Rattus norvegicus: one gene and its partners. The protein of the gene in region 1 interacts with the protein of each later gene in a biochemical or structural test. Links are inferred from orthologs where the notes say so. Each region holds a gene or a part of one and is shown on either strand. Other genes may lie near its edges.

Region 1 (9,573 bases):
CTTCACACAGCTAGACCAGCTTCACAAAGGTAAACCAGCTGTCTACCCCTACCCCAGCATTACCAGCTGTCTACCCGTAGTCCAGCATTACTTTAGAGCTTTACTATTTTTCTCTACAGGGGTATAGTATTTGCATGTGTAGCTGAGTGCTCAGGGAAACCAGAATAGTTTGTCAGATTGCCGGGAGCCAGCAGTATAGTGCTGTGAGCACCCAATACAGAAGCAAAGGAACTGAACTGAGGTCCTCTATAAGAGAAGTAAGTGCTGGGCTGGAGAGCTGGCTCAGCAGTTAGGAATACTGGCTGTTCTTGCAGAGGACCTAAGGTCAGTTCCCAGCACCCTTGTGGCAGGTCATAAACATCGGGAACTCAGTTCCAATGGTTCCAACACCCTCTTCACCTCCATGGGCACCAGGAACACTCACGATGTACACAGGCAAAACACACACACATGACATAGACACACAGGCAAAACACACATACACATAATATTTACAAATCATCTTTTCTCAATGATTTTAGTCAAGAGCAAAACCACAGTGATATAGAAAACCCAGATTTATTTAACTATTACAAAGACAAAATATCATTGAGAGTACTTTGCAGACTTCATTTCAGATGATTTACTCTGTGACAGTCAAGGACCTAAGCTAGGAGAATGTAACAGAGCTGATGGTAAATGCGGAGGAACAGAAGTAGCACACAAGCATTTGTCATGACGAGATGTGGTTGAGCCCCAGTAGAGGGCCCATGCGTCCGTGGAGAATGCTAAAGGCTGTGCCCTCAGAGGCCTTTGCTTTTTATCTCAGGGATCAGAGAGTCCTCCTAAGTCCCAGAGACATCTAAGCTCCCCACCTCACTTTTGCCCAGCGTGAGCACTGTGCACACGACACACAGGCCTCGTAGCTGACAGATTGCACACAGCAAAGGCAGGAATTAGAGGCCCTCTCAGAAGATAACTAGACACAGGAAGCTTAGGGGTAAATGAGAAACTACAAAAACCCGTTCAGTTAATTCACCTTTGTTAATAGAGGTCAGAGTCTTTTCTGCTGGTGACAGCTTGCTGTCTCATTATAGTTTGTCTTGAGAAATGAGTTTTGGAGAAGAAAAAAGCCTTTCACCAGCTCCATTCTGGAGTGAAGAGGCATCAAGTTCTTGCCTATAGTTATGAGCAGAATCTGAAAGACAAAGGGCTCACAGTTATTATTACTAATAGCCATTATTTAGTGAAGCCTTGTAGGATTCCAAACTATTGTTGTATCTCAGGCCTTGTAATATCCCTGATTAGTAACTATGCTTCCATTGTAGAGATGAGGAAACTGAGAACCTGTTATGCAGGCCACCTGCAGAGGAGCAGAGACAGCATGTGAGCACATACGTGGTGGAGCTGTGAGGCTATGATACGTGTGCACCTTTCTGTACCCTATTTCACGCTCCATCCCGAGGTTTGGAATTAGTAATGGTTACACGAACACTCTACTTCTTCTTTAGGCTTTCAAAGTACATACAATTTTTTTTTAAGATTTTATTTATTCTATGTATATGAGTACACTGTAGCTGTGTTCAGACACACCAGAAGAGGGCATCAGATCTCATTACAGATAGATGTGAGCAACCATGTGGTTGCTAGGAATTGAACTCAGGACCTTTGGAAGAGCGGTCGGTGCTCTCAATCACTGTACCATCTCTCCAGCCCACATACAATCTTAAATGATCAAAAATTACACTGTTTGGAAATCAGATCAACTAACAAATGAACACAAAATAGATTGGACCAGAAAAGCAATTCTTCCCATCACAAAATAGTCAAAACCACTAAACAAAGAAAGAATAATATTAAAAGCAGTAAGGGAAAAAGGTCAAGAGACATATAAAGGCAGACCTATCAGAATCACACCAGACTTCTCACCAGAGACTATGAAAGCAGAAGATCCTGGGCAGATGTCATACAGACCTAAGACAACACAAATGCCAGCCCAAGTTACCATATCCAGCAAAACTCTCAATTAACATAGATGGAGAAAACAAGATATTCCATGACAAAGCCAAATTTATACAATTTTTCCACAAATCAAGCCCTACAAAGGATAATGGATGGGAAACTCCAACACAAGGAGGGGAACTCCCTAGAAAAAACAAAGTAATCTTTCAACTAACCCAAAAGAGAGCCACACAAACACAATTCCATGTCTAACAACAAAAATAATAGGCAGTCTGACAGTTCCTCAGAAAATTAGACATTGCACTACCTGAGGACCAGCTATACCACTCCTGGGCATATACCCAAAAGATGCTCCAACATATAACAAGGACACAACATGCTCTACTATGTTCATAGAAATCTTATTTATAGTAGCCAAAAGCTGGAAAGAATCCACATGTTCTTCAGCAAAGGAATGGATACAGAAAATGTGGTACATCTACACAATGGAGTACTACTCAGCTATTAAAAACAATGGCTTTATGAAATTTTAGGCAAATGGATAGAACTACAAAATATCATCCTGAGTGAGGTAACCCAGTAAACAAAAGCACACACATAGTATGTACTCACTGATAAGTAGATATTAGCCCAAAAGCTTGGAATACCCATGATACAATCCACAGTCCACATGAAGCTTAAGAAGAAGGACAACCAAAATGTGGATGCTTCAGACCTTCTTAAAAAGGGGAACAAAAATACTCACAGGAGAAAATATGGAGACAAAGTGTAGAGCAGAGACTGAAGGAAAGGTCATTCAGAGACTGCCCCACCGAGGGGATCCATTCCATATACAGACACCAAACCCAGACAATATTGCAGATGCCAAGAAGTGCATGCTGACAGGAGCCTGATATAGCTGCCTCCTGAGAGGCTCTGCTAGAGCCTAACAAATACAGAGGTGAGTGCTTGCAGCCAATCATTGGACTGAGAATGGGGTCCCCAATGGAGGAATGAGAGAAAGGACTGAAGGAGCTGAAGGGGTTTGCACCAACAATTTCAACCAACCAGACCCCTCAGAGCTCCCAGAGACTAAACCATCATCCCAAGAGTACACAGGGATGAACCTATGGCTCCATCCACATATGTAGCAAAGGATAGCCTTGTCATTAATGGAAGAAGCCTTTGGTCCTGTCAAAGGTCAATGCCCCAGCATAGGGGAATGTCAGGGCGTGGGGGGGAATGGGTGGGTGGATAAGAGAGTTACCCTCATAGAAGCAGGGGGAGGGGAGGATGAGATATTGGGTTTCTGGAGGGAAAACAGGGAAAGGGGATAACATTTAAATGTAAATTTAAAAAAATCCACTAAGAGAAAAAAGAAGAAAAACTTCCCATCCAGGCTACTAACAACTTATAATGCTAGCCACTGCCCCTTCCCTTCAAAGGCAGTTAGCTGTCACTAACGTGATGATGAGTAAGGGAGGTCAGGCCTGGAGTCGGTGGTGGGTTATCAATGTCTGGGACTGTGAGAGCGGAAAACTAACCGGCACCAGGAAAGCTCGCAGTGATGTGAGCAGAGAGTCTGCTGCCTACAGACTACACAAAAGCAGCAATAATGCAGGGAAGGAAAACATTTATGGGAAGAGATATAAACCACACAGCCACAGAATTTCTCTAAGGCTATTTTTTTGATAGCCGCATTAGAAGAAAACATGCATCGTTACCATGCATCGTTAGTTCTATAACTGCAGTAATTTAGAAACACTGAACTTAAAATATATATATTTATCTTATGTGTGTGTATTTTGCCAGCATGTATGTGTACCATGTGCATGTAGTGCCTGTGGAGGCCAGAAGAGGGCGTCATATCTTTCTGGAACTGAACTTAAAAGATGTTTGTAGGGCAAAACCCAAGTAATTTCCAGTAACCAGAGATGGATAACATTTTTTAAAACTGCTACCTTCCTAGAACTCTTTAAGCCCATTGTCGTTTCAGGGATCCTCATGCAGTAACGAGAGAGAATCAGCTACTCACTCACTGTAAGTCACACGAGTCATCCTCAGTGGTCAACGTCTGCATCCTCGAACTGTCCGGCAACAGTTGGTGTGGTCTCTACCTCCATGCCATCTGTACATAAAGACACTCTCTCAGACACTTGACTCAGCAAGGCCTGGCATGGTGGTCCCCTGTTGCAGTCCCAGCCCTTGGGAGGCAGTCAGATAGAACTCTGTGAGTTTAAGGCCAGTCTAGTCTGTGTAGTACTTCTAAGCTACACGTGAGACCCAATCTAAAAAATACAATAAAAACAATAACTGCATTTTAAAAATTTGGGCATTTTGTTGTTTTTGAAATAGGGTCTCATGCAGTTCAGGCTATCCTCCGCTCCTGACCTCAGGCCCATGGCTAGGACTGCAGGTGGACCACCACTTCAGGCTATCTAACACCTCCAATTCCACTCTTTCTATTTTGAAAACAAAGTTATCTGAGCCACCTGTGGATTTAAGTCAAATTAAAAATCAATCTAAACAGCTAACTTTGTAAATCCACAATATCAACACACATACACATACAAACCCACAAATCCTAGGCAGGAGTCAATTTATGCCTTTTCTTCCAAAAAAATTTGGAATGTTTAGCTATGTAGCCTAGACAAGCTCAAAGTCACTGCGTCCTGTGGGCTCACATCAGGCGCTAGGATCACAAGTTCATGCCACCAGGTCTGGCTGGCAGGGATTTTCAAATGCATTAATCAGAGCAGAAAAACAACAGCAGCAAACTTTATCTCCCCATTTCCATTATCTCACTAACATGGCATGGGATGAGGGCTAAAGGCATAGTCCAGCACTTAAGAATAAGAGCACTGTCGACTTTTCATAGGACCCAGGCTCGATTTGTAGCACCCACATGGCAGATTTCAACTGTCTACAATTTCAGTTCTAGGGCATCTGGCTTCCACAACCATGCAAAGGAGCACAGATATCCAGGCAGGCAAACACATATACACATAGAATACAGTTTTTAAAAAAAAATGTGAGGAGGGCAGAAAAAAAAAAAGTGCTCTGGAAAAAACCATCTGTAGTTGTTTACTTTCTCACTCTTGACTCTCTCCCAACTCTTCACCTGCCACATGTGAGTAAGGCATGCTGGGATACGATAATTACTTGAGTTTACTAGTCTGTGTCTAGCATGGGCAATACAGTAAGATACAATTCCTACCCCATCTCCCCATCCTTGCCACTATCCCAGAACTCCAAAACTCAGGTCAATATGCTGTATGCATGTGATACTGATCACAGCACCATGGGAGAAGTGAAAGGGGACCAGAGAAGACACACTAAAGCCACTTCAACAATGTCCTGTAGTCATTGAAAACAACAGTGTTACAATGTTCCTAGAGCATAAAATACTAATATATACTAAACACATAAAATGTAAGAGGTGCTGATGACAATGGCAGGCATATTACTTTTATATAATGGTTCACTGAAATAATCCTCTTATCAGCTGTTTGACCTCAAGCAATGCAACCCTTCTGAGCTTTAGCTGTCTAATGGATAAAATGTGGATCATAAACTTATCCTTAAACTTTTCATAAACTTTATTCTAAAAAGAATTAAATGTACACATATAAGGGGGGGTGACATACACCTTTAATCCCAGTAGTAGGAAGGCAGAGGCAGGTGGATCTCAGAGTTGAAGGCCAGACTGGTCTACTTCAAGAGTTTCAGGACAGCCAAAAGCTACTCAGAAAAACCCTGTCTCAAAAACAAAACAAAATAGACCCCCCCTCCCCAAAAAAGAGAAGTATATAGAGATGTGCTTTAAGTCTGGGTGTGGCACATAAGCAGTTCGAGATCAGAAAGCACAGGACTGCCACAGGACCGCCACATGACCACCACATGAGGTGAAGAGAAAGGGCACTCACCTTCGTAAGTTCTTACTGAATCTTCTGTTCGGACGCCTGCCATATTATACTGGCTGCTCACAGACTGAGAAAGCATTCCTTCTAATCTCTCCAGCGTGGCTTGCCCTTCTGCTGTTAAATGGGATAGTCCTTCTTCATAGGTGTAAAATGTAGGGATGTCCCCCTGTCCTTGCTCTAAACAAACAGAACACGATTTTATACAGCAGTGGGAAAAAAAGACAGTGGACAATAAATAATGCATTTGCTGGAGATGTACAGGCTTCCGGTATTTATTGATAGGGTCATTATTAAGAGTTCCAAAAAGAAAAGAAAAATATGTCCCTACCCATTAGAATTAGAAAACCAGAAGGAAAAGAGGGTGGTTTTTTTTTTTGGTTCTTTTTTTCGGAGCTGGGGACCGAACCCAGGGTCTTGCGCTTCCTAGGTAAGCGCTCTACCACTGAGCTAAATCCCCAGCCCCGAGGGTGTTTTTAAAATTGGTGAATCCTTTATTATTCTAAGGTGGGAATATTCCAAGGTGGGAATTTTATAAGTGAATAAATACAAAATTTGACTGAAAGAATTTTGAATTAACATATTTTTCCTTTTTTAAAAAACCAGAAAATCTAAAAGAATATAAAAGGGACAAAAACAGAAAATCACTTAAAAAAATCTCTAAGAAATGAGAACATATTTGTGTATGTGAAGAATAATTCCAGAAATGGGTAGTCTTAGGCTGGGAACTGGATTCCTGTGTAGGAAAGAACTGTAGATGCCCAGACTGGTGCCAAAGAGACCGTTTGTGCCTTAGGTTGCAACCTACCAGAGCAAGGGAGCACATTCTGGTCTGGAGGCAGTGGAAAATAGTTGTGGATAAATGAAGTATGGGTTTAGGGAAAAGGAAATTAAAGTGCGATATCAAGAGAACTCTAGAGAGACAACTCGGTGGTGTCAGAGCATTTGCTGTTCTTGCAGGGCCTGCAGTTTGGTTCCCAGCACCCAGCTAGCAGTTCACAACCATATAATTCAAACTCAGGGGGTTCCAAAACCCTTTTCTGGCCTCAGAGGGCACATATAGGAATCCAGGCAAAACACTCATACATGTAAGATAAGCAAATTAAACACAACTTTAAAGAGATATACATGAACAGATTTCTCAGTGGGGAGGGTAGGGACAGCCAGCTCAGACTGAGGTATGCTCTTGACCACCGACTTTCTAGCTGTCCTTGTCTTTCCCATTTGTTTCTATTATCCATTCCCCACCCCTAATATCTTATTGTTGTTTGAGCTTGGGAAAGCCATTCATTTCCCCAATTGTCTGCTGAAAGGGCCGAGACACCAAGTATGCTAATGGACCTTTATTTACAGCCATTTTACATGGGTTCCTTTATAGAAAAAAAAAAAAAAAACCTAAAAATTGTATGCCCTTAGCACATGCTTAAAATGAAACAGTAACGCCAACCTGAGACCCAAGTCACTGACCATGTGCTTCCACATCATACTCTTCTCCATCATAGTCATCCGAGTCTTCATCCTCAGGGTCTGGATGCAGGGCCTGGCACTCACACATTGCTGTGAACATCGCCTCCACTGAAGGACAGGAAACTGTAACTAATACTTTTTCCAGTGCACCACAGAGTTTTAGAATAAATATAACCACTGCTACAAACCAATTTAAAAGCAGACAAAAGGTTTACTAGGCTAACTATATTTATAAAATCTATAAAATTCAAATGAAAATTGACCATGGAAAATGCTTGAAGACAATGAATAAGTCACAAAGTAAGGATTCAAGACATTATAATATCTCTTCATTGGTGGCTGGATTTAAGAAAAAAAGGCCAACCCAGGTGTTGTGGGTCAGGCCTCTGATCTCAGAACTCATAAGGTAGAAGCAAACAGACTTCTTTGAGTTTAAGGCCTGGTCTACATAGTTCCAGGACAGCTGGGACTATATAGAGAGACCCTGTTGAAAAGAGGAAAGAGAAAGGGAAAAGAAAGAGTAAAGAAAAAAGGTCAGAGATGTTGGTCACACTGCTAATTAGGAAAAAGCCTCTGTCACATGACATACTTTCCAAAAATCTCCACATTTTCAACTTTGGAAGTGTTTCCAGCCGTTGACATTGAGTCAACAGAGTCAATCAGACTGACCAGAGTCCTCCTTGCACAAAGTGCACCAGATACCATGCTAGTCACAGTATTCTTACTGTATCCACAACCTGGGACAGTAATAAGTACCTGCTCAATGACTTTAAGGAGACTAAACAGGATAAAGCAACAGAACGGAGGTAACGGTAATGAAGGGGAGAGGTGTGTGCTTACCAATGGGAGAGGGGACATATGGAGAAAAGATCAGTATCACAACACTCACATGCTGACTTATCACTGGGCACAAATCTAAACTCAGAAATGGGTTCAACATCATCATTGTCGTCCTCATCTTCATCAGAGAAAGGTTCTTTTGATTCTTCTATAAAAGAAATAAAAGTAACCTTTTTAGACATTAAGAGTTAGTTTTTCTTAAGACTTTACTTATGTGTGCCAGTATAAGCTTTATGTACAGAATGCATACAGGAGCCAGAAGAGGACATTGAGTCCCCTGGAGCTAGAGTTAGAGGCACTGTGAGTCACCTGACATGGGTCCTGGAAACCTAACTCTGTCTTCTGAAAGAGCAGCAGGAGCTCATAACTGCTGGTTTGTCTCTCCAGTCTCAAGGAATAAAAACTTAAAATATTTATTTCACATTTTAAAGACACTGAAGCTAGATCCTGGTAGTATGTGCCTGAAATACTTGTACTTGAAAAGGAGAAGCAAATATATACACAAAAAATTTAATGAACAAGCTAGGAAATTGACTAGTATATCTAAATATTGCAATTCAGTGTTTACTGATGGTTATGCAGAGAAGTGAGACGATTTCAGATAAATGTGTAATAGTTTGTAGATAAAGAATGCTCAAGGAGACTAGGGGTGGGAGTAATAGCTTAGAGGCAGTCACTCTGTACAGGAAGTCCCGGGTTCACATTTTTACACTGGAAGACTGAATATATAAATGTATCAACACAGAGACACTTAAAAAAGGAACTAGATGAAAAAGCTAGTTGCAAACTATATGGTATCACTTACATTAAAAATTTAAACATAAAACCATTACATCGGTTGGAGACATATACATATTCAGTAAGGGTTAAAAGCATATATATATATAAGGGCTACAGAATTGACTCCGTGGTTAGAGCACTTGTTACTCTCACAGAGAACCTAGGTTCAATTCCTGACACGCATACAGTGACTCATAATTGTAACTCGGAGCCAGGATCTAACCCCTTCTTTCTGACCTTGGCAGGCACCAGGCATACATGTGATATGGCAAATACATACATACATAATAGTAAAGCATATACAGGAAGGCAGACACTACCTTTACAATATTGCTTAATTTGAGTCAGAGAGAAGAGGATAAAATGGGGACCCACACAAAACACTTTCTTTTTTCTCTCCAGTTTTGGACTTTATTGTTATTGTTGTCGTCTCAGGCCTTGACTGCGCACTTGCGCAGTGGGTACAGCCGCTCCTTCCGCTGCTGCTCCTTGGTCTTTAGCTTCTCTTCATGCTTGGTGAGCCGGCGGCGCATGGCTCTCGTCTTCTGGGGTCGCAGGTCTATGGGCTTGTACTTCTTTTCCTTGTAGAATTTCCTGAGGTTTTCCTTTTGAGTCTGATTAATGACAGTGAAGACACAGGCGATGG
Region 2 (10,190 bases), on another chromosome or scaffold:
GTAGACTGAGTTCTGCTATTCCCAATATTCTAAGAGCCTGGCCATGTGCTGCTGTAGTGACCAGTCACACAGCAAGGTGCTGTCCCAGTGCATAGCAAAAGCAGATACCCAGCAGCTCAGGTTAGGAAAGTGATGGGGTGTGCCTCAGAGAATACCCCGGGTGACAAAGGCAAAAGCATTCCCTGAGGCCCTGAAGGGAGGCCCAGCTGACACGTGGCCTGTGAGAGCTTAGCCCATGAATATGAACAAAGTTCAGCCTAGCTGGGCATGGTCGCACATGAAAATCCAGTCAGTCTACTAGAATCCCCTTTGTGGATTTCTGGGCTCCCTCCTGGGCCAGGTAACTAGCTCTGTACAAAGTCTACCAGTCCAGCCCCTCTCCTACCACTCCCTGTATGTGTGTCAAAGAAGAGGGCCTTTCACTAGCCAGAGAGCTGAGTCTTGAGTCTTAACCTTTTGCTCTCCTGTATCTTCAGGGACTAGCTGAAAGGTCACTATTTGTAGGGCTTTCTCTGACCCCAGGCTGGTCATTCCCCATCCCTCTTGTGTAATCCTTTAAACCAGAGTTAGGCCTAAGGTTGTAGAATGTAGATCTTATCTAGTCTTTGCTCCAGGAACCTCTAAGCCTAAGTCTTTCAAAGGCCCCTCGGCCTTTTAACAGTTTGTAGATTAGATCTTCCCAAATCCTGTACCTGCACACAGCAGGGAGAGGAATTTCGGCTCTGGTTTCAAAGCCTTAAGAGTCCTTGGGATGGGCAGATGACTCAGTGGATAAAGAGCTCAAGCAAGATGACCCAGGTTCAGAGACCCAGAACCCACACCAGCCTGTAACCCCAGCAAGCAGATGGACACAGAAGTTTCAGCGAGCTGGCTAGGCAGACTAAGAGAAACAGCAAACTCAAAGATGAGTAACAGATTCTGCCTTCAGGAAGACACCTGAAGTCAGCCTTCCAGATGCATGCATACACACACACATACATACACACAGATACATGAGAACACACGCATGCACGACCCCTACCCTACACTTACCCTTACCCTCACCGTTACCCTTAAACTTGCCCTTATCCCTGACACTACCATTACCCCACCACTATCCCAACAAAATCCAAACTCCAAACCCTTTCTCCAACATCCTCTTCTGCCTTCTGAGAGCAGAGAGCACACATGAGGTACACAGACAGACCCACAAGCAATAAAACAAAACAAACAACAACATCAACAACAACAACAAAAACCAAAAAGCCTCATGGACATAAAATAAAAACAAATCTTTAGGGAAGTAATTGCCCAGCTGTGAGGTTTCTGAGTTTGGGTCTTATTCAAAGACAGGAAACACTAACCTAGGCTCTGCCTCAGTTTCCTTTCTAGTTGCAGTGATGACAGACCCTGACAAACATAACTTAGGGGAAAAGGGGCTTATATTAGTTCACAATTCCAGGGTGCACCCATCACTTTTGGGAAGTCACAGTGGTTGGGTCAGCCAGTCAGATCATATCCAAAATCAGGAACCGACAACAAAGAGTATACACGTGTCTGTCTTTCCCCCTTTTATCAGTCTGGGGCCCAACCCACTTTTGGGGTGTGTCTTCCCAGCACAATTAACCCATTAAGAAAATCACTCACAGGCAGAGCTAGACAATTCCTTACTAAGACTCCTTTCCCACAAGATTATAGATTCTATCGGGTTAGCGATTAAAACTAAATGGCATTCTGGAGATCGCTCAGCAGCTGAAAAGTACTCTTTTGCAAAGGACCAAGCGCCCACGGTGGCTTATAGCCAGCTGTCTGTTAAGCTCCCATTCGGGGGATTCTGACATTCTTTTTCAGCTTCTGAAGGCACCTGTATGCAGACAAAATACTCAAGACACATAGAATTTTATAAAGTAAACAGCCATAGGGCTCCTTTTATCTCTCTCATACTCTGCTGTGAGAGGACACATCATTTCTCCCTTTCCTCTCTTCCTCCCACGTGGGCCTATCTAGAGAGAGTCTACCAGGGATGGATGGATCTTGTACTGAACTTGCCGGCATCTTGATCGTACAATTCTCATAAATCCCTATTGCTTATAAATTTTCCAGTTGTAAGACACCAGGGAACATACTCATCTTGTTTGTTTGCTGTCTCCCTGCCTAGTGTCTGATGCTTAGTGCTCTCTCACTATCACACTTATACATGATGTACACAAGGGGATGTAGCACTTGTCCAGCACTGACCAGGACCTAGGTTCAATCCCCAGTGCTACAAATTAAAAAAAAAAAAAATGGAAAAAAAAAGTTGCACTTACTGAGGTGACGTAAACTTGGTCTCCAGGGACTATTATGCTAAAACAGTTCTCTCGGTAGCTACAGGAAAACTCTCTGCAGGGTGTGGCACTATCAAGATGGGTGTCTTCACTTTTCAGAACCCTTACTGAGGCTGTAAAGGGCTCTGAGCTACTCAGGCTGATTGCTACCCAGGTTTTGTTTTTATGCCACCATTGGTCTGGAATGTTGCTTTCTCATCTCTGACTTCCAAAGCCTCTGTTCTACAACAACACCCCCCTCCCGTCATTCTCTCTGCCCTTCAGCATGCTCATAGAGAGAGTATCGGCCTTCTCCCTGGTCAGCCTGAGAATTCTGTCATGGGCATGTAGGATTAGGGCTGAATTTGCCTCCTCCAGTCCTCACCCATAGCTGACACTCATTTATGCCGTTGAGAAGGTTTGGGGTTGATTTTGGTTTTTTAAAGCTCTACCCTTTGAAATACCTACTTGTTGCTATAAGTGCCCATTAGTTCTAGGCCTCCAGATCACACCCTCTAACGGAGGCTGCCTTCTTACTTGATGGCCTGAGCTCTGCCTCTAATTATTTGGGACACGCCCTCTAAAATGTGGCATAGGACAGACGCTCCTCAGGGTCCTAAGAGACTCAGGTGTCTCTCCCCTTTCCCTCAGCCTTAGAACCACTAGATCCCAAGGCCTCACAAGGCAAACATTCCTTAACTATCCTGATCTTAGCACAGGGAGGATGCTTTCTGAGGCTAGGTGATAAGGGTAGAAGCAGCCTTGGTATTTGTCCTGATAACAGCATCAGAGCCCAAAACTGCTTCAGATCTTGAAGCTTTAAGCCAAGACAGTCCTCCACCTGAGCTAGGATCTGCTTTGGAGAAAGCCTTGGGCTGGCTTCAGCTGTCTGGTTGTCACGAGAGAAAAAAGGCAGTCAACTCTTCCCGCTATTTTAACCCTCTCAGCCTGTCTGCTCACCTCAACGGGTACAGAAAACAGCAGTAGCCTACTTGACTGGGATTTAGAAACATGAATTCTGTGCTATCTATAAACACTTTAATGCTGCGTCTACCTCTTAGCACCCTACACAAGTGAGCCATTATCTGCCGAGGCTAAGAAAGGGCAATGATCTAGTCAAAGTTCACAGCCGCAGCTAACTGGAGAAGTAAATAAGTAAATTCCAGCACAGGACCAAGCCCAGCTCCAGGTTACAACCAGAAGGAACCACTCCCTGAACGTGATGCCCCTCTCCAATTAAGAGTTTGGGTCCCACACCCCTTGACCCCTACCCACGAGATAGCGCCTCGCCTGTAACAGTTTATTAATGTCAACTCTTGTGCCCTAACCAGAGCTCCACCAGAACTTCCTGCTGTCCCCACTTCGTGAGTAAGCAAAGGGGCTCGGGTTTCCTCAGGGCAGAAGGAACCAGTAGTAAGCAAATAACCAAAACAGTAGCAAGACAAAAGCGCTGGGTTTGGGAAGCCAGAGAAAAAGACCTTCCCTTTGCTAGATGCTCCCAAGCCATTTTTTCCCCTCTTTCCCGCCCCTTTGTTGAGTGCTCTCAGGCCCCTCTTTCCCCCCCTTCCCGGCCTCAGGCTTTCCACAGCTCCCCGGGAAACAGGATCACCCAACGTGCTTCAAGCAGGGCTATTCGTTTCTGAGCAAGGTTGTGCCTTTTTGCCCCTTGGACTTTTCCACTTGACCACTCTCAGAACTCCCTGGGCTTCAAACCCCGGGAGACTCAGAACAACCATAAGTTGAGGATAAGAGATGAGAAGGAATATCCACCTAGCTAGGACCCACTAGAGGCTCCAGGCTGGGCTGAGGCCGCAGACGACCCAAGGTCGCACGCTGCCAGACCCTGCTCGGCTCCAGGGCGGAGTCCCCCCCCCCCTCGGTTCCCCCTTAGAGAGGCACTGACCCGGCTCGAGCGGCTGCCCCGCTGCCTCTACCTCCGTTCTCATGACCCGGGTGGCGCAGGGCGCCCATGGCCCCGGCCTGGAGCTGATTGCCGCTGCGATTTCTGCTGGGCGGAGAGCTCGGCCAGTGAGCGTAGAGTTCCTCCGCCGCCGTCGCCGCGGCCACCGCGGTTCAGACCCGGGTAGGCGGTGGCGAGGCCGCCTCAAGCCACGCCTAATCCCTTCCAGGTCTGGGCGCTGGAAACCCGCCCCTTCCATAAGCCACACCTCTTCCCTTCTACCCACTTCTCTTCCAGACTGCGCTCCCGGCCGGTCCTTCCCTTAAACGCTCCGGCGGCCCCGCCCTTCCTTAGCCCCGCCCCTGCCCGAGCCCCCGCCCCCAGAGCCTTTCCCGGGGCGACGTTGGCTCCCCACAAACAACCTAGCACTCTCCCGCCACTAGGTCTGCTCTTTTGCAGCCTCAGTTGTAGGCTCTGGTCCTTCGCAATGCCTCGTCGAGACTCCAAAGAATCCTTTTCCTACTCCCTTTAGGTCTTCTTACTTTGACCTTGAATAAAGATAGTTCCCAGGGCTCGGTGTGTCCCTTACCTGACGGTGACCGGATCCAAAGTTTAAATTTCTAATCCAAGCCTCACTTCCTGTCTACCCAGAGCATTGGGCGCAAGCCCAGATCCTGCCCAATCCGTCACTACAGCACTCTGTAAGCGTGGGTCCCCATGTTCCTTTGTGGGCTCGAGGATTGATGTTTCCGGCGGTCCTCGGGCCCTCCACAGTGCCGGAACTATAGTGCTAGAGGCCTGGGTTCCCCAGCCGGCTAAGTGAGAGTAAAGGGTAAGTAGGCCTAAAGGAAAGGGAGGGGCCTGCGCAAGGCATTCTGGGAGCGCGTGGTGTGAGTGATACTCGGGCCCGTCGTTTCCTCGCCTCAAGCCTTCGCCTTCTAACGTTTGTGCCGGGACCGAAAAAAAAAAAAAGCCTGCAGTTAGTTGGTGAGGAGAGGCGGCTAACGGGAGAGGGGAGGCCAGGGCTCTCCAGAGGCTTAGGAGCTGAAAGGGACGCGGAGGAGGAGCTCAGCGGGGCTTAGCGGAGGGCGGGAAGCCAGGGCCTATCCAAATATCATCTCACTAATCCTAGGAACAGTTATTTATTTACGCCTAGCCAGCACGTTCTGTGCCTTTCCAGGTCACCGATTTTCGAAGCTTACAGGCAGTCCTTTCTTGCTAGTTATCTCCTTGCCTTCCGGATCTTCGTTTTCAACGTCCTTTTCATCCCTGCGCCACTCCCATTCCTGTACTGGCCTCCCCTCCTGCTTTGCACGCTGCTGCAGACGTTTCAGCAGATTGCTCTGCTATATGTTTAATCCACTTTGTAGATGCTACTAGTTTTTTTTTAAGCCCTTGCCTATAATCCTGTAGTGTTTCCCTACCATTTTCAGCACTCTCCTAAAGTTGAAAGCCGTGGTTCCTCACCATGTTTAGCATCCTTATAGTCTTCTCATGAAAATGGGCCGTGTGCTCCGTCTAGTGTCGTTTCCCGTCTCAGAAATGTAAAAGCCCTGCGCATAGTCTTTGTTTTTTTAATGAGACTTAAGTCGAGCGTTTACCCTATTTCCCTGAATGATGAGCATTTCCTGTTTATAGCATGTTGCCGTGACGCTTTTGGTCTGCTTTTTGGTGGGGAGTCAAAAAGCTAAATTGTAAAGCACAACCTGTTTTCCTGGATTTCTCTGGGTTTAGGTCTCTTTGTACTATCAGGTACTGTAGCTTTTATCCAAATGCGGTTGCTGAGTGATTGGAATATGACTAGTGTGGCTGAGGGACAGATTTTTTTTGTTTTCATTTGCATTTTGTTTACGTGTAAACAGTTATTTGGTCGGGGTCCATATCATAGTTGTTTAAATGATTATAAAGAGAGGGACATATGACTGGGTGAGAAGGGAGGTACTCGGGGTTGGGGATTTAGCTCAGTGGTAGAGCGCTTGCCTAGGAAGCGCAAGGCCCTGGGTTCGGTCCCCAGCTCCAAAAAAAAGAACCAAAAAAAAAAGAAAAAAGAAGGGAGGTACTCTGATCCCATTCATTGGCTTTCTTTGTCCAGTTTACCATCCTTCCCTACCCTACATGTTGGGCTAACTTGCCGTCGTGGGTCCTTCAAACCAAGAGCCAGACTCCTTCCACAGAAAATGCAGCCGTGACAGAATCTGCAGAGCCTGTGGAATGCCAGTCCTTAGGCTCCGAAAGGTAACCATTGTCTCTCTCACTGCCCCATAGGAAGAGTCCTGCCAAGATGTCTATCGGTGTGCCAATTAAAGTCCTGCACGAAGCGGAAGGCCACATAGTGACATGTGAGACCAACACTGGTGAAGTGTATCGGGGGAAGCTCATTGAGGCAGAGGACAACATGAACTGCCAGGTATCCTGCTTTGCACCCGGGGCTGTGAAAGAACGGTGGCTTCTATCCTGGGGGATAAAAAGGTCTTAATGAAGTTATTCTTACCAGACAGTTACTACCTGTCAGGCACTCTGACAGGCTGTGAGATCATATGTCAATGTAGACTTAGTCTTGAGACAGGAAAGTCATTTGACAGCCTGATGTGGTAGTCCATGAATGTCCCAGCAGTTGGGAGGCTGGGGTAGATTCGAGGGTTCTAGGCCAGTGTGGGCTTTACAACAAGACCACACTGCTTTTGGTGGGGAGTCAAAAGGCCGAGTTAAAAGCCCCGCCTCTCTTCTTAGTTTTCTCTGGGGTTGGGTCTATGTGTGCTTTCAGGTAGCCTTTATCCAAATGCAGTTGCCGAGTACCTGTCCGTAAAACAACCAGTTATGTTAACTTGTTCTGTCTGTCTCGGCTCCTAGAGTAGGTCAGGTTCGGAACCGGAGTCCGCTTCCCAGCACAGTTTATAGTTTGCAGAATTTTCTGCTCACATATGTGTGTGTTTACTTTTGTCTTGGAGAAAGTTCATCTGATAAAACTACCAGAGTTTTGATAAATGGTTTTGGATTTTTTTTCTCCCATTAATTAAGAACTTGAGCTTTGGAATCAGAGAATTCTCTGATTTCAAATTGAGTTGGGCCACAATTATAGGACCTGGGGTACCTTGGCCATTCGTTCTCTCCTCTATAAAATGAGAATGGAGTTGTTTTGGATCCTCTGTGCTGTAAATGCCAACCCAGAATTAAATCCACAAAAGACTTGTTGGGGAAATGGCAGAAGGATGTCAGTGACCGAGCGGGATAGCACATGTGATTGGTTACTTTTCTTGTTGCTGTGATCAAATTCCTGACCAAAGCAACTTACGGAAGGAGGAATTTATTTTGACTCACAGTGTGATGACACAGTCTGTTGCAGAGGATGGTGTGATGGCAAGAGCTTGAGGAGGCTAATAGTCGCATTGAATGTGCAATCAGGAAGCAGAGATTAGTGCCTGCGCTTAGCCCAGTTTCTACTTTTGACCTCCACCTAATCTAGATAATCCCTCACAGACGTGCCTGTCCCTTCCTTCAGTAATTCTAAATCCATTAAGTCGATAATAGTAATGATGGTAGCAGGAGAGTCTTCAATCCAGAGAAAGGAAGGCAGATTGAGCAGAAGGAGCCTCAGACTGCAGCATGATGCTGAGCAAGTTTCCCCAAGTAAGAGGAGTGACTGGAGGCAGAAGTGGACTGGCTCTCATGTTTCCTCTGTGCTCAGTCCCTGGCAGCCTGTGTGCATGGCTAACGCAGAGTGAGTGCCAGGGCAGATCCAGAGCAGCAGCTGGAGGATGTCGGCTGCACACTCTTCCCTGCCTATTGTCTCTGGAGGATGAACGTAACATCCCTAGACTGCTCCAGGTCTAGAGATGTTGGAGAAGAGACGTGTGTGTGGGCAGCAGCCAGCTCAGTGCTCTGCTGTTGGAGTGAATCTGTAACATCTTATAAGAATATATTCTTAGTGAGAAAATGAGGTTGGAAAGGTGCAGTGCTTGTTTAGGGCGCATCTGTAGTAAGAGAACCTGCCTGTTGCCTTTTAGGGTTTGTGTTAGTTATCAGGGTCTCTATTCCTGCACAAACATCATGACCGAGAAGCAAGTTGGGGAGGAAAGGGTTTATTCAGCTGACACTCCCACATTGCTGTTCATCACCAAAGGAAGTTGGGACTGGAACTCAAGCAGGTCAGGAAGCAGGAGCTGATGCAGAGGCCATGGAGGGATGTTACTTACTGGCTTGCTCCCCCTGACTTGCTCAGCTTGCTCTCTTATAGAACCCAGGACCACCAGCCCAGGGATGGCACCACCCACAAAGGGCTGGGTCCTCCCACCCTTGATCACTAATTGAGAAAATGCCTTACAGCTGGGTCTCATGGAGGCATTTCCTCAAGGGAGGCTCCTTTCTCTGTGATAACTCCAGTTTGTGTACAGGAGGACGAATCTGCTTTGTAAGAAGGCTGGTGACAGCAGCAGGAAACGGAGAGCTTACATTTTCAGTAGACAGCACGAAGCATAGAGAGCAAACAGGAAGTGTCAGGGTCCTCAAAGTCTGCCCCCAGTGACATCCTTCAGCAAGGCTTCATCCCCCAGAGCCCCCCAAAACATCACCAACTCGGGGGCCAAGCATTCAAATGCCTGCAATTATGGAGGCCACTTTTCATTTAAACTACACACTTGTGCTGGTTAGGTTTTTGTCAATTTGACACAAGCTAGGGTTGTCTTAGAAAAAGGAACCTCAATTATGAAAATGCCTCTATCAGATTATCCTCTAGGTAAGTCTGGGACATTTTTTTGATTAGTGGTTGATGTGGGAAGACCCAGCCCATTACAGGCTATGGGGGGGAGGTGCGATTAAGAACGGTAGGTGAGGACCAAGCATGGTGATAAAACCAACACCTGTAATCCCAGTACTTGGGGAGCAGAGGCAGGACAACCAGGACCATAAAGGAGGTTGTCTACAAAACAAAACAAAACGGGCATGGTGGTGCACACAGATCTCTGAGTTCAAGGTCAGCCTGCCCTACAAAGCAAATTCTCTCAGCCAGCCAGGACTGTTACACAGAGAAACAAAAAAGTGTGTGTTGAGCATGAGCCTGGAGGGCAAGTCTGGAAGCAGCATTCTTCTGTAGTCTCTGCTTCAGTTCTTGCCAACTTGGATCCTGCCTTGGCTTCCCTTAATGATGGACGGCGATCACAATGTGTATGCCAGATAAACTCTTCTACCCCCCGCCCCCAGGTACTTTTGGCTGAGGGGATGTTTATTAGAGCAACGCAAAGCAAACTAAAACAAGATTTAGTTTAGAGTTGGTGGTGCGTGCCCACACCTCTCCTTCCCCTCTGCTGGGAATGGAGCCCGGTGCCTCAGGCGAGATGGTTAAGCTCTCGCACTGAACTGTGCCATTTGCCATTGTGGGGTTGCTTTTGAGATGAGATCTCTATAGATCCCAAGCTGGTCTTTAACACTTGATCTTCCTGCTGCCTCAGTGTCAATTCTGTAATTTCTGGCAAGTGCCATCCCACTTGGCCTTGAGGCTTCTTCAAGTCCTGTACTACTTGGTTTCCTTCCAAAGGAAGGTCCTGAGAGGTGTAGCTGACTTAGTGCTGTCAAGACCTGTAGTGGTCTGCCTTTGTGAGGGTCCGCTTTCATGGGTCCTGCCCTCTCATTTTACCCTCTGCTCCCTTCAGAATCAGTGATAAACTAACCAGCGAATGCTCATTTTGATTTACTTATGGAGTCTGAATACTTGTATCTCTTTGGGACTGATGGCTCCTGCAGGTTCCCCTGCTGTCTCCTTTCCAGCCCCCAGCCCTTAAGAAATACCTTCCAAATACCTTCCCTGGGTAACATTTTCTTATAAACTTGGGGCAAAGCCAAGCCTGGGAGTTCACATAGTTCCAGCACTTGGGGAAACTGAGGCAGAAGAATCATCACCACAAAATTCAAGGGAAGCCCGGACTTTTTAACACCTTGTCTCAAATAAATAAATAAATAAATAAATAGCCCAGAACAGAATATTAACACATCACAAAGATTTGGGAACATGA
Region 3 (9,516 bases), on another chromosome or scaffold:
CGGGGTTGGGGATTTAGCTCAGTGGTAGAGCGCTTGCCTGGCAAGCGCAAGGCCCTGGGTTCGGTCCCCAGCTCCGAAAAAAAGAAAAAGAAAAGAAAAAAAAAAACAAAAAAACAAACAAACAAAAAAACCCAAAAGCAAACAAGCAAACAAAACTCAGGGGAGCTAGTGAGGCAGCTTAATGGGTGAGAGGGTTTGCTTTGCAAGCATGGGGAATGAGGACCTGTGTTCAAGTCTCCAGCACCTATTACACTCTCCTGTGACTCTCTCATTGGGGGAATGGGGACAGGCAGATCCTGAGACCCCAATAGCCAGCCAACAAGCCTAGCTGACACAGTGAACATCCAGTTTAACATGAGACCCTGTCATAAAGCAATAAGGCAGGGAGCAGTAAAAACCAGCTAGGAAGTCTTGCTTGGTGCATATACCACACAGGTTATACAAAACAAAACAAACTTATCTTTCCCTCTAAATAAAATACTTATGACTTCAAGAATTGCCCACCTTTAGAGAGGAATGCTGACTCCTACCTATAATCCTAGCACTGTGTCTGAATAAAGGAGCTAGGGGTGTATTTCAGTGTGCTTATAGTATACATAAGGATCTGGAAGCCACTCTCCCAACCAAAAAAAAAAATCTTTCATTGAAGTTGATAATTCTATACAAATAAACTGTGTATGTGAAGTTTCTATTCAGAGCAATTTAAGCGTAGACCCAATATAGTCATGCACCACATGACATTTTTTTTTGGGGGGGGGGGAGCTGGGGACCGAACCCAGGGCCTTGTGCTTGCTAGGCAAGCGCTCTACCACTGAACTAAATCCCCAACCCCATGACATTTCTTTTAACCATGGATAATATATACCTAAGTGATCCCAGATTATGTTAATAGTTATTATAAATATGCTATGATGTTCCAATGAGTAGGAACTCCTTTACTGCTAATTTTAATAAATTGACCTGCTGAAAATGGTGGTGTGTGGCTTTAATCCCAGCACTTGAGAGGCAGAGGCAGGCAGATTTCTGAGTTCAAGACCAGCCTGGTCTATATAGTGAGTTCTTGAACAGTCAGGGCTACATACGAAAACCCTCTTTTGAAAAACAAACTCGTAGTTTTTTGTTGTTGTTTTGTTTTGGGGGTGTTTTGTTTTGTTTTGTTTGGGGATCGGTTGGTTGGGTTTTGGTTTTGTCTTTGTTCTGAGGAGATAGTGTCTTCCTTTGTCCAGGCTGGGGTATAGTAGCTATTTACAGGCACAACCCACAACCCCACTACTAATCAGAAAGTAAAGTGTGAATGTCTTACTTTTCGATTGCATGCCAAAACACCATGAAAGTGCAACTAATAAAAGAGTTTATTGAGGCTTAGGGTTTCAGAGGGTTAGTCCATGACTGTCAAGGTGGGGAGCATAGTAGAGGAGCAGGAAGGCAGGCATGGGGCTAGAGCAATAGCTGAGAGCTTACTTTCTGATCCACAAGTTGGAGACAGAGAGCTGGATGGGAATGGCATGGGCTTTTGAAACCTCAAAGCTCACGCCCAATAATACCTCTCCTCCAATGAAGCCACACCTACTAATCCTTTTCAAGCAGTTCCAGCAACTGGGGGCCAAGTATTCAAATATATGATCCCGTTGAGACCATTCTCGTTCAAACCAACACCGACTCACTCCATTTCTGACATGGGTCACTTTGTCTCTCCTTAGGCAATTCTTGTGGTCTTTCACTCCCAGGAAGTCACCACATTGATGCTGAACGTGGTTATCAGTGGCAGAAAGCATTGTATCCCTGAACTCCAGGACTCAACTGATCCTCCTCCCTCAGCCTCACCCTACCTGGTCTGACAATCTCACTGGGTTAGGTTGTTTTACAAGTCCTAAAAACAGTGACGTTCTAAATATTATTCATTTTGAGGTTATAGTTGTCAGGATCTCTCTCTCAGTGCCCTAACTTATGAGTCAAGATCCCTTAATTATGGAGTATGTGTGTTTTGGCTACACATCTGTGCAGCGTGTGTGTCTGCTGCCGATGGACCTCAGAAGAGGGCAACAGATCCCCTGAGACAGGAATTATGGAAGGCTGTGAACGCCGTCCTCTGAAAAACCAGCAGCTCGTACTCTTCACTGATAATCCACTCAAGACCTCCAAGGGACAGTAAATCCCATCCACAAGCTCGGCTTCCATCCTTGCTTCAAAAGTCACACCAGCCACCCACGGTCACAGCATGGCCAAAGGGGCAGAGGAAGGTTTAAAAGGCAATCAACCACTTTGGAGAGAATTGAACAAATGTTGGGAGTCTGAGGGACAATGGCAGCACCATTTCCTGGGTGAAGTCACTGACCTGGGCAAAGCACCTCCAAGGCAATGTAGTGAAGAAGTGGAAATACTGACTTAGAGACCGGAATGTTGTGTAATGAGCCAAGGCTACTCTCTTAAAACATAGTCCACGGTTGCCAAACTTAAGTGACCCAAACATTTAATCTCAGAACTCAAGATGCAGAAGCAGGTAGATCTCAAGTCCCAGGCCAACCAGGGCTATGTAGACCCTGTCTCAGTAACAAAAATTAACTTAAACTAAATTTTAAAATTAACTTGCGGGGTTGGGGGATTTGGCTCAGTGGTAGAGCGCTTGCCTAGCAAGCGCAAGGCCCTGGGTTCGGTCCCCAGCTCCGAAAAAAAAAAAAAAATTAACTTGCTGGTTGGCACCAGCTCTACAAAGCCTGTCCCAGTGCTTCTCTCTTATGTGGGCTCAGGAATGGAATGTGTGGTTAAAGTTAAAAACCCAGGGAAGCAAAACACAAAAACACCCAGAGAAACTAACATAAGAACATAATAAACATAAACTTTCCAGTGACTGAGAATTGAGGGAGCATCCCAATTCCTTTATACCAGTGTGACCGCAGGACTGGGACCACATGAGTCCCTAGGTATATACTGTCAGTATACTACGCAGACAGTGGCAGTGGGCAAGGTTTCTCACCAACTCCAGTCCCAAAGGTTTGCTCTGTTCCTTCAGGTTTGTGGGGGCCTGAAGCTCCACTATTTCCTGTATGCTCAACAGAGTACCATGGCAGCTGGACTCCTCTTTCCAGACCATGCCATGCACTTGTGAGATCCGTCAGAACAAAGGTTCAAGAACTGGCTACAGCCCTACATAGGAGCCAAACTCAAATGTCTTAGTTAACCCCAGGAGATGAGCTAACCTCTCCAGGACTCAAGCAAAGGCACCCTTGGGAGATGCTTACCACTAACTCCCTAGTTAAGTGACTTACAGAAGGAAAGCAAAGATGGAGAAAAGACTCACTTGTTCTTTCCAGTTATAGATGCCCATAAGCACCTGATGGGCAGAGCCCACGGAGGACAACTTTGGCCATACCTACTGACTCGAGGGTTTTGTAGAACCCCATACCTCCATCCTGAGTAGGCAGCCACCCACCCTCCAGACCGCCCTCTTTTTTTTTTTTTTTTTTTGGTTCTTTTTTTCCGGAGCTGGGGACCGAACCCAGGGCCTTGTGCTTCCTAGGTAAGCGCTCTACCACTGAGCTAAATCCCCAGCCCCCAGACCGCCCTCTTGACCTCACTCCTTGGGACTTGAGTACTGCCAGACTCCTCTGCAACACTGCTGTTCACATCAGACCCCACATGGTCCCCTATTGCAAACGTAAACCGAGATAACTTCTCAGCTGACATGGGTACTTGGGTATTCTGTTCTAAAAAGAACTGATGGTGCCAACCCTCACTTCCTTAGGTTTCCCAAAGCTCCTGGACCCTTGAGCTGCCCAATCCCTGCACTACCCCAAAAAGTTGCTGCTGTCAGAGATGTTAGGATAGGTGCAACATTTCACTGTACCAACTTCAAATTTTCTTCTGCAAAATGGACAATTACTCTGTGATTTTACTGGCAATCCATCTAAGGAAGGGAGAAGCTAGAAGCTCTTCTCATATCTCCAAGGTGTCTCTTTCCTAGAGAAATAGACAAATGAACCTAATGGACCACATGAGAAAAGCATACGCCCAGAGGTCCCGGGGCGGGGGCGGGTGAGGCTGGAGGGCTTGACACACGGGGACGGAACACAACATGAGCACAAGTGGGAACCTCACAGGTCACCACTGAGTACTTCGTGCTCTACTACTGAACATCCCCAGCTTCTGACCTCCTTGGGTCTTAGGCAAGGCAAGAGCACAGACCTCGGTGTGCTGGGATTGAAGTGAAGTGTAGGAAACAGGCAGGCGGCAGCAGGGGAGAGCAGCAGAGGCCGTAACTTCTCTTTATTTGTGTTTCCTTCTGACACAAAGCATCCAAACAACAACAGAGTAAGGCCAGGGGAAGGCCGCAAGTGTTCATGCACACTCCTGGGGCTCTCCCACAAGCCTCTGCCTTTTCTCCTGACCCCTGGGAAGCTCTGGAGGGTGAGCGCCCGCCGATGCCACTTCCTCCAGTGCTACTGAGTCCTCGTGCCCTCGACAGAGGCTTCTGAAAACTGCTGCTGGCTTGTGTCCTGCAATTCTTTTTTTTTTTTTTTCTTTTTTGGAGACAGGATCTCACTATGTAGCCCCTAGGTGGCCTGAAACTTGCTGGGTAGACCAGGCTAGCCTTGAACTTAAAGAAATTCACCTGCCTCTGCCTCTGGAGTGCTGGGATAAAAAGTATGCACCACCATGCTTGGCAGTCCTGGAATGCCTACCCCCTGGCCACCATGACATAGGTAGAAAAGCAGACTGAATCGTTCCTCGCTGGCAGGTGAGGGTCTCACAGATGAACTGAACCAGTAGATGTTCTGCACCTTCTGTGCTACAGGAAGAGAACTCAGAGCTGCTTCCAAGGCTCTGACGCTGTGTGCAGGGCTAGAGGCCAATGGTATAGGAGCGACCAGTAGGGTTGTGAATAGAAGAACAGACTGGCGCTGTCACCGCCCACTCGTACCACACCTTCTTAGAATTGCTGCATCGCCAGAAACGCACACAGATGTTCTGGCCTTCATGCACCGTGATGGGCTGCTGTAATAGGAAAGACACAGAGGCTGGGGTTGAGCTGAGGAACTATACTTGACAATGTTGGGAGGATAGACGGGGATTAGATAATCAACAGCCAAGTGTGGGGTACAAACCTATAACCCTCAAACTCAGGAGGCTAGGCAGGAGGGTCAGGAATTCAAAGCCAGCTTGAATATAATCCCAAACCCTTTCTCAAAACCAAAGACAAATATAGTAAAATATTCTGACCCTCATAAGACGTCCCTACTCGGGGCTGGAGAGATGGCTCAGCGGTTAAGAGCACTGACTGCTCTTCCAGAGGTCCTGAGTTCAATTCCCAGCAACCACATGGTGGCTTACAACCATCTGGGATCCAGTGGGATCTGATGCCCTCTTCTGGTGTGTCTGAAGACAGCTACAGTGTGCTCACATACATGAAATAAATAAAATCTTTAAAAAAAAAAAAAAAGACGTCCCTACTCTGTCAAAATATGGACAGTGAGCAAGGACACAGTGAGTGCTATGAGCATGTACAGGGAGCCGCGAAAGCACTTAGGAGGAAGACAGCCTATTCTAGGAGGTCAGGAAAATGGCCTGATTGCAGATATCCCAGGAAACCTGGTCAGTTGGCAGGGTGAAGGCATGAGCAAAGAACCTCACAGGCAAAACAGAGGGGACTAAAAGCTAGAGACATCTCCTGGGAGGCAGAAAAAGCCACCAAGCCAACTCTTACAACATGGTTCCAGGGTCTCACCTGAGGGCAGTGGGAAGGCACTGAGGGGCTTAGACAGAAAGGCCAATTCAAATTAAGTGGTAAAAAGTCAACCCTCTTCCAGGTAAAGACTGGACAAGAGTGGTTGGAGATGTGGGGAGTCCAGGGAGCTTACTTGGGTAACCCCAACCAAGACCACAGAGCAAGTGACAGAACAGAATGTGGGTCACAGCCAACTAGCTGAGGGACAGGAGCAGAACACCACTGTTATCCCTCAACCAACCATCTTAGAGGGGACTCCTACCTTGATGGGGAAGAAGATGGGGAACCATGAGAACATGCCAGGAGAGTGGGTCTCTGGGCGGATACCTGTGGAGACAAAGTAATGAAAGACTTGAGGTCACCACTGTCCCTCTTCCTTACCTTGAGAAGTCTCTTCTGTGGTCATAAAAAATCCTAAGAATCAGAGACCTCTATTCCTGGACTCTGGACTCCCCATGAAATTACTGTGCCGGGCTGACAGTAACCTCAGCTAGTGTTCAGCTAGCAATCTCCATGGAGGAGAGAACACTGTGAAGCAGCCCCCAAGAACTGAAATCACCAGTGCTCTAATGAGCTCCCAGACACTCACTCAGAGTGATGTCCCGGTAAAGCACAGTTTCAAAGTAGCCTGCAAAGCCATGAAGCACCGTGTTCACCTCCACAGGAAACTCCAAGGTACAGTAGCGGTTGTTGTCAATCATAGGATCTGTCAGGAAGGACATGGATGGATGACAAGGGGCCAAAACCCCTCAATGACTTGGCAAACCTGAATAGGCTCTAGGACTGCAGGACCTGAGACCTAGACTTGGGAAGCTCGCACCCCCTCAGTCAGAACAGCCATGCATGAACCTACCTCGGTTGGGATGGCTGAAGGTAAAACAGGGCTGAGGAGCAGAAAGCTGGTGGAAGTTGTGCAGCCGAACCACATAAGGCATCTCAAACTGTGCCTGGCCAGGGTGAGAAAGCAACAACTTCAGGAGACAGAAGACAGACAGACAGACAGACAGGAGGCACCACTTCCCAGAGAAAGCTGGAGTTCCAGCATCAAAGAACGAAAACATCGTTTTACTTCACCCTCGTTCTTCAATCCCAGCTCCTCTCACCTCTTCACTGGCTTCAGAGGAAGACAGGAGAGCAGACTGAAGGATAGTCCCTCCTCCTAGAAAAGCAGCTCTTTACCTCAGGGTCACGGTCCTTCTCCCGACAGGCGCGGACCTCGTTGTACAACTTCGAGGAAGAAATGGGAGCCAGGAAGGAGGTGTATTCTCCGGGGATGCTTACACCATCATCTGCAGGACAACAGGGTCAAATCAGTTCCCAAAGGGAGGGGAGAGGGCATTTTTTGCACCAGCTGAAGGCTCAAACAACAGAACAAGCCAAGGCTGCTAGGAACACGGCTGGAGGACAGGATGTTGGATCATCGGAATTCTACTCTTAGGATGTTAGAGCCGTAAGTAAAGGTAAAAAAACACCCCAAGGGGTTGGGGGTTTAGCTCAGTGGTAGAGCGCTTGCCTACAAGGCCCTGGGTTCGGTCCTCAGCTCCAAAAAAAAAACACCCCAAAAACAGAGCTATGCACTACTTAGCACAGAACAAATTCTGGACTATTAGAGAGAAAATGACAGTCCTTACACAAACTAAGATGACTGAGGTCCAGGCTGACACAATTCTGTGGGATCACATCATACACACACAGCCCACTGCTGAATATCACCAGGGTAGGTCTGACTGCACTCTAACCCACCATGTAGATGCTGGTAACCCCATAAACAAACGAACATTAAGTCCAAGATACTTTTTCTACCCACGTAGAGATCACACTCTGGGCCTCATTTCAGATAAATGCTCCAAAGCCATGGTCAGAGCCCACAAGCCTTATGGAATCTCTAGTCCACTCCTGTGTAAATCATTTTACCCTGCAAGCAGCAGTTCGCAGCCATATGATCCCCCCAACCTGGACAAACCTTTCAGGAAGTGCTGTGCTCCATCCAGACACTCAGGTGACAGCTCATTGTCGGCAAAGGAGCCCAGAAGTTCACTGACAATGATGTCTGCCTTCTCCGGAGCCACCCATTCCCGCATGTCTGACGAGACAACTGTCACCTGACTCCCCCATTCTTCAAACTGCCAGTTCTCTAGCCTGAAATCAGGGGTGACCGAGTAAGGAAGACTTCAGCTGGAAACTGGGACCCAGGACCAGCTGCCCAGCAAGCAGGCTGCTACTCACGTCACCACAGCATTGGGGTTCTTCTCCACGGCATACAGCCTAATCCGCCGCTCAGCCTGCTTGGCTGCCCGGAGAGACGCATTCACTAGAGGACCTCGGCCTGCACCCAGCACCATAAGTACCCTAAGAAAAGGGAAGAGTCAAGCAGACCAAGCAGAGGGAGAAGCAAGCGTACAACTACCTGGGAACAAAAGAAGGACTCACTGGACATTGGTCTCCTTTTCTTCTTCTGGTACTCGGTCTAGCAAACATTTATAGATGGCCTGAGGGGAGAGACAGAAAACCTCATAGAAGTGTCCCCATCTCTACCAACCTTTCCCTGGCCTGTGCTTGGCCTTCCTGAAGCCAATACTGTACCTGCTGGTACTGAGAGTATTTGATGGGGTCCTTTTCGAACACTTCGTACGTCTGAGATTCCAGATTGTCCATCAGAGGCTGACAAATGAGACGGAAGAAGTTGGCCAGTATTGGCAAATGGCCAAGACATCAAAACTCTCCCATTGCTTCCTGAGTTTAGGTAGGATCTACCTGGACTACCTACTCTTTAGAGATATTTCTTGTCCCTCTCTCTTGCTATTATTACAATTATTATTATATCTCTTGAAGATTATTTATTTTTTTTAAAATAAAGAATGGATATTGAAGATTTTATTTTATAAAATCTTTATGAGTATACTATAGCTGTCTTCAGACACACAAGAGGGCATTAGATCCCATTACAGATGGTTGTGAGCCACCATGTAGTTGCTGGGATTTGAACTCAGGACCTCTGGAAGAGCAGTCAGTGCTCTTAACCTCTGAGCCATCTCTCCAGTCCCAAGATTTTTTTTTTTTCAACTAAAACTATGTATGTGCATGGATATTCTGCTTGCATGTATGTGTGCACACCATGTGCAGGCAGTGCCTGAGAAGGCACTGAAAGCACTTGGTCTTCTGGAGCTGAAGTTACATCTCTGAGTCACCAGATGAGTGCTGGGAACCAAGTTCAGGTCCTCAGGAAGAGAAGCCCATGCTCTGAACTCTGAATAATCCCTGCAGTCCCTTCTCCACCTTCAGTGCTCTTCAAACCTACCTGAAGTGGGGACTGCAGATAGTCTTCATAGCCTTTGGCAAAGAGTTCGTAAGCATTGGGTGGGGGACGATTTTGGCTTAAGTATTCCAAGTACTGGAGGTAGGAGCAGAACTCCTTCTCTGAGTGGTGGTTGGTTCCCGTGATGATAAATTGCACTTCCAACTGTGAGGAGAGTCAGCCCACAGTTCATGATTCTCAGACATGGTTTATAACCAAAGCCCCCAACATAAAATAAAACCCATACCAATAGTTGTCCAGCATCTGTCTCAGTACCAAAAAAAAAGTATGGCTTTCATAAATGTATAAAGTCCTCATATGCTGACCAGGTAAGAATGAGAACTCAGTTCATCCTGACCTGGGCTGGACCAAACTTGAGAGTCTGGTGCCAGGCAGGTCATTGCCAGCAGTTTAAGCACAGGACAATTTAGTGGAAAGGTCCCTGGGGTAACACAATCCCCAGTGCATGAGGAAGGACAACTACATCTGAAGAAGTTTG

Evidence for each region.
Region 2: the proteins of Clns1a (region 1) and Snrpd3 form a complex in vitro, tested with the Homo sapiens proteins (2 studies listed by BioGRID). The link is inferred for Rattus norvegicus from reciprocal best matches to the Homo sapiens genes CLNS1A and SNRPD3.
Region 3: the proteins of Clns1a (region 1) and Prmt5 form a complex in vitro, tested with the Homo sapiens proteins (5 studies listed by BioGRID and IntAct, with this or other methods). The link is inferred for Rattus norvegicus from reciprocal best matches to the Homo sapiens genes CLNS1A and PRMT5.

What each region holds. Positions count from the first base shown.
Region 1 is NC_086019.1:161,441,874-161,451,446, reverse strand, and holds the end of Clns1a (methylosome subunit pICln), read right to left. Parts: exon of another isoform or gene 9,312-9,573; intron 8,296-9,311; coding exon 8,197-8,295; intron 7,416-8,196; coding exon 7,308-7,415; intron 6,021-7,307; coding exon 5,847-6,020; intron 4,049-5,846; coding exon 3,981-4,048; 3' UTR 3,960-3,980; exon of another isoform or gene 3,956-3,959; intron 1,178-3,955; 3' UTR 544-1,177; downstream 1-543. UniProt on the Homo sapiens protein: Involved in both the assembly of spliceosomal snRNPs and the methylation of Sm proteins.
Region 2 is NC_086038.1:13,139,788-13,149,977, reverse strand, and holds the start of Snrpd3 (small nuclear ribonucleoprotein Sm D3), read left to right. Parts: upstream 1-5,057; 5' UTR 5,058-5,172; intron 5,173-6,450; 5' UTR 6,451-6,466; coding exon 6,467-6,592; intron 6,593-10,190. Other genes in the region: protein GUCD1, read right to left, coding at 4,189-4,444. UniProt on the Homo sapiens protein: Plays a role in pre-mRNA splicing as a core component of the spliceosomal U1, U2, U4 and U5 small nuclear ribonucleoproteins (snRNPs), the building blocks of the spliceosome.
Region 3 is NC_086033.1:31,934,696-31,944,211, forward strand, and holds the end of Prmt5 (protein arginine N-methyltransferase 5), read right to left. Parts: intron 9,183-9,516; coding exon 9,021-9,182; intron 8,384-9,020; coding exon 8,306-8,383; intron 8,212-8,305; coding exon 8,153-8,211; intron 8,072-8,152; coding exon 7,949-8,071; intron 7,862-7,948; coding exon 7,686-7,861; intron 7,012-7,685; coding exon 6,902-7,011; intron 6,670-6,901; coding exon 6,576-6,669; intron 6,429-6,575; coding exon 6,312-6,428; intron 6,050-6,311; coding exon 5,985-6,049; intron 4,993-5,984; coding exon 4,840-4,992; 3' UTR 4,232-4,839; downstream 1-4,231. UniProt on the Homo sapiens protein: Arginine methyltransferase that can both catalyze the formation of omega-N monomethylarginine (MMA) and symmetrical dimethylarginine (sDMA), with a preference for the formation of MMA.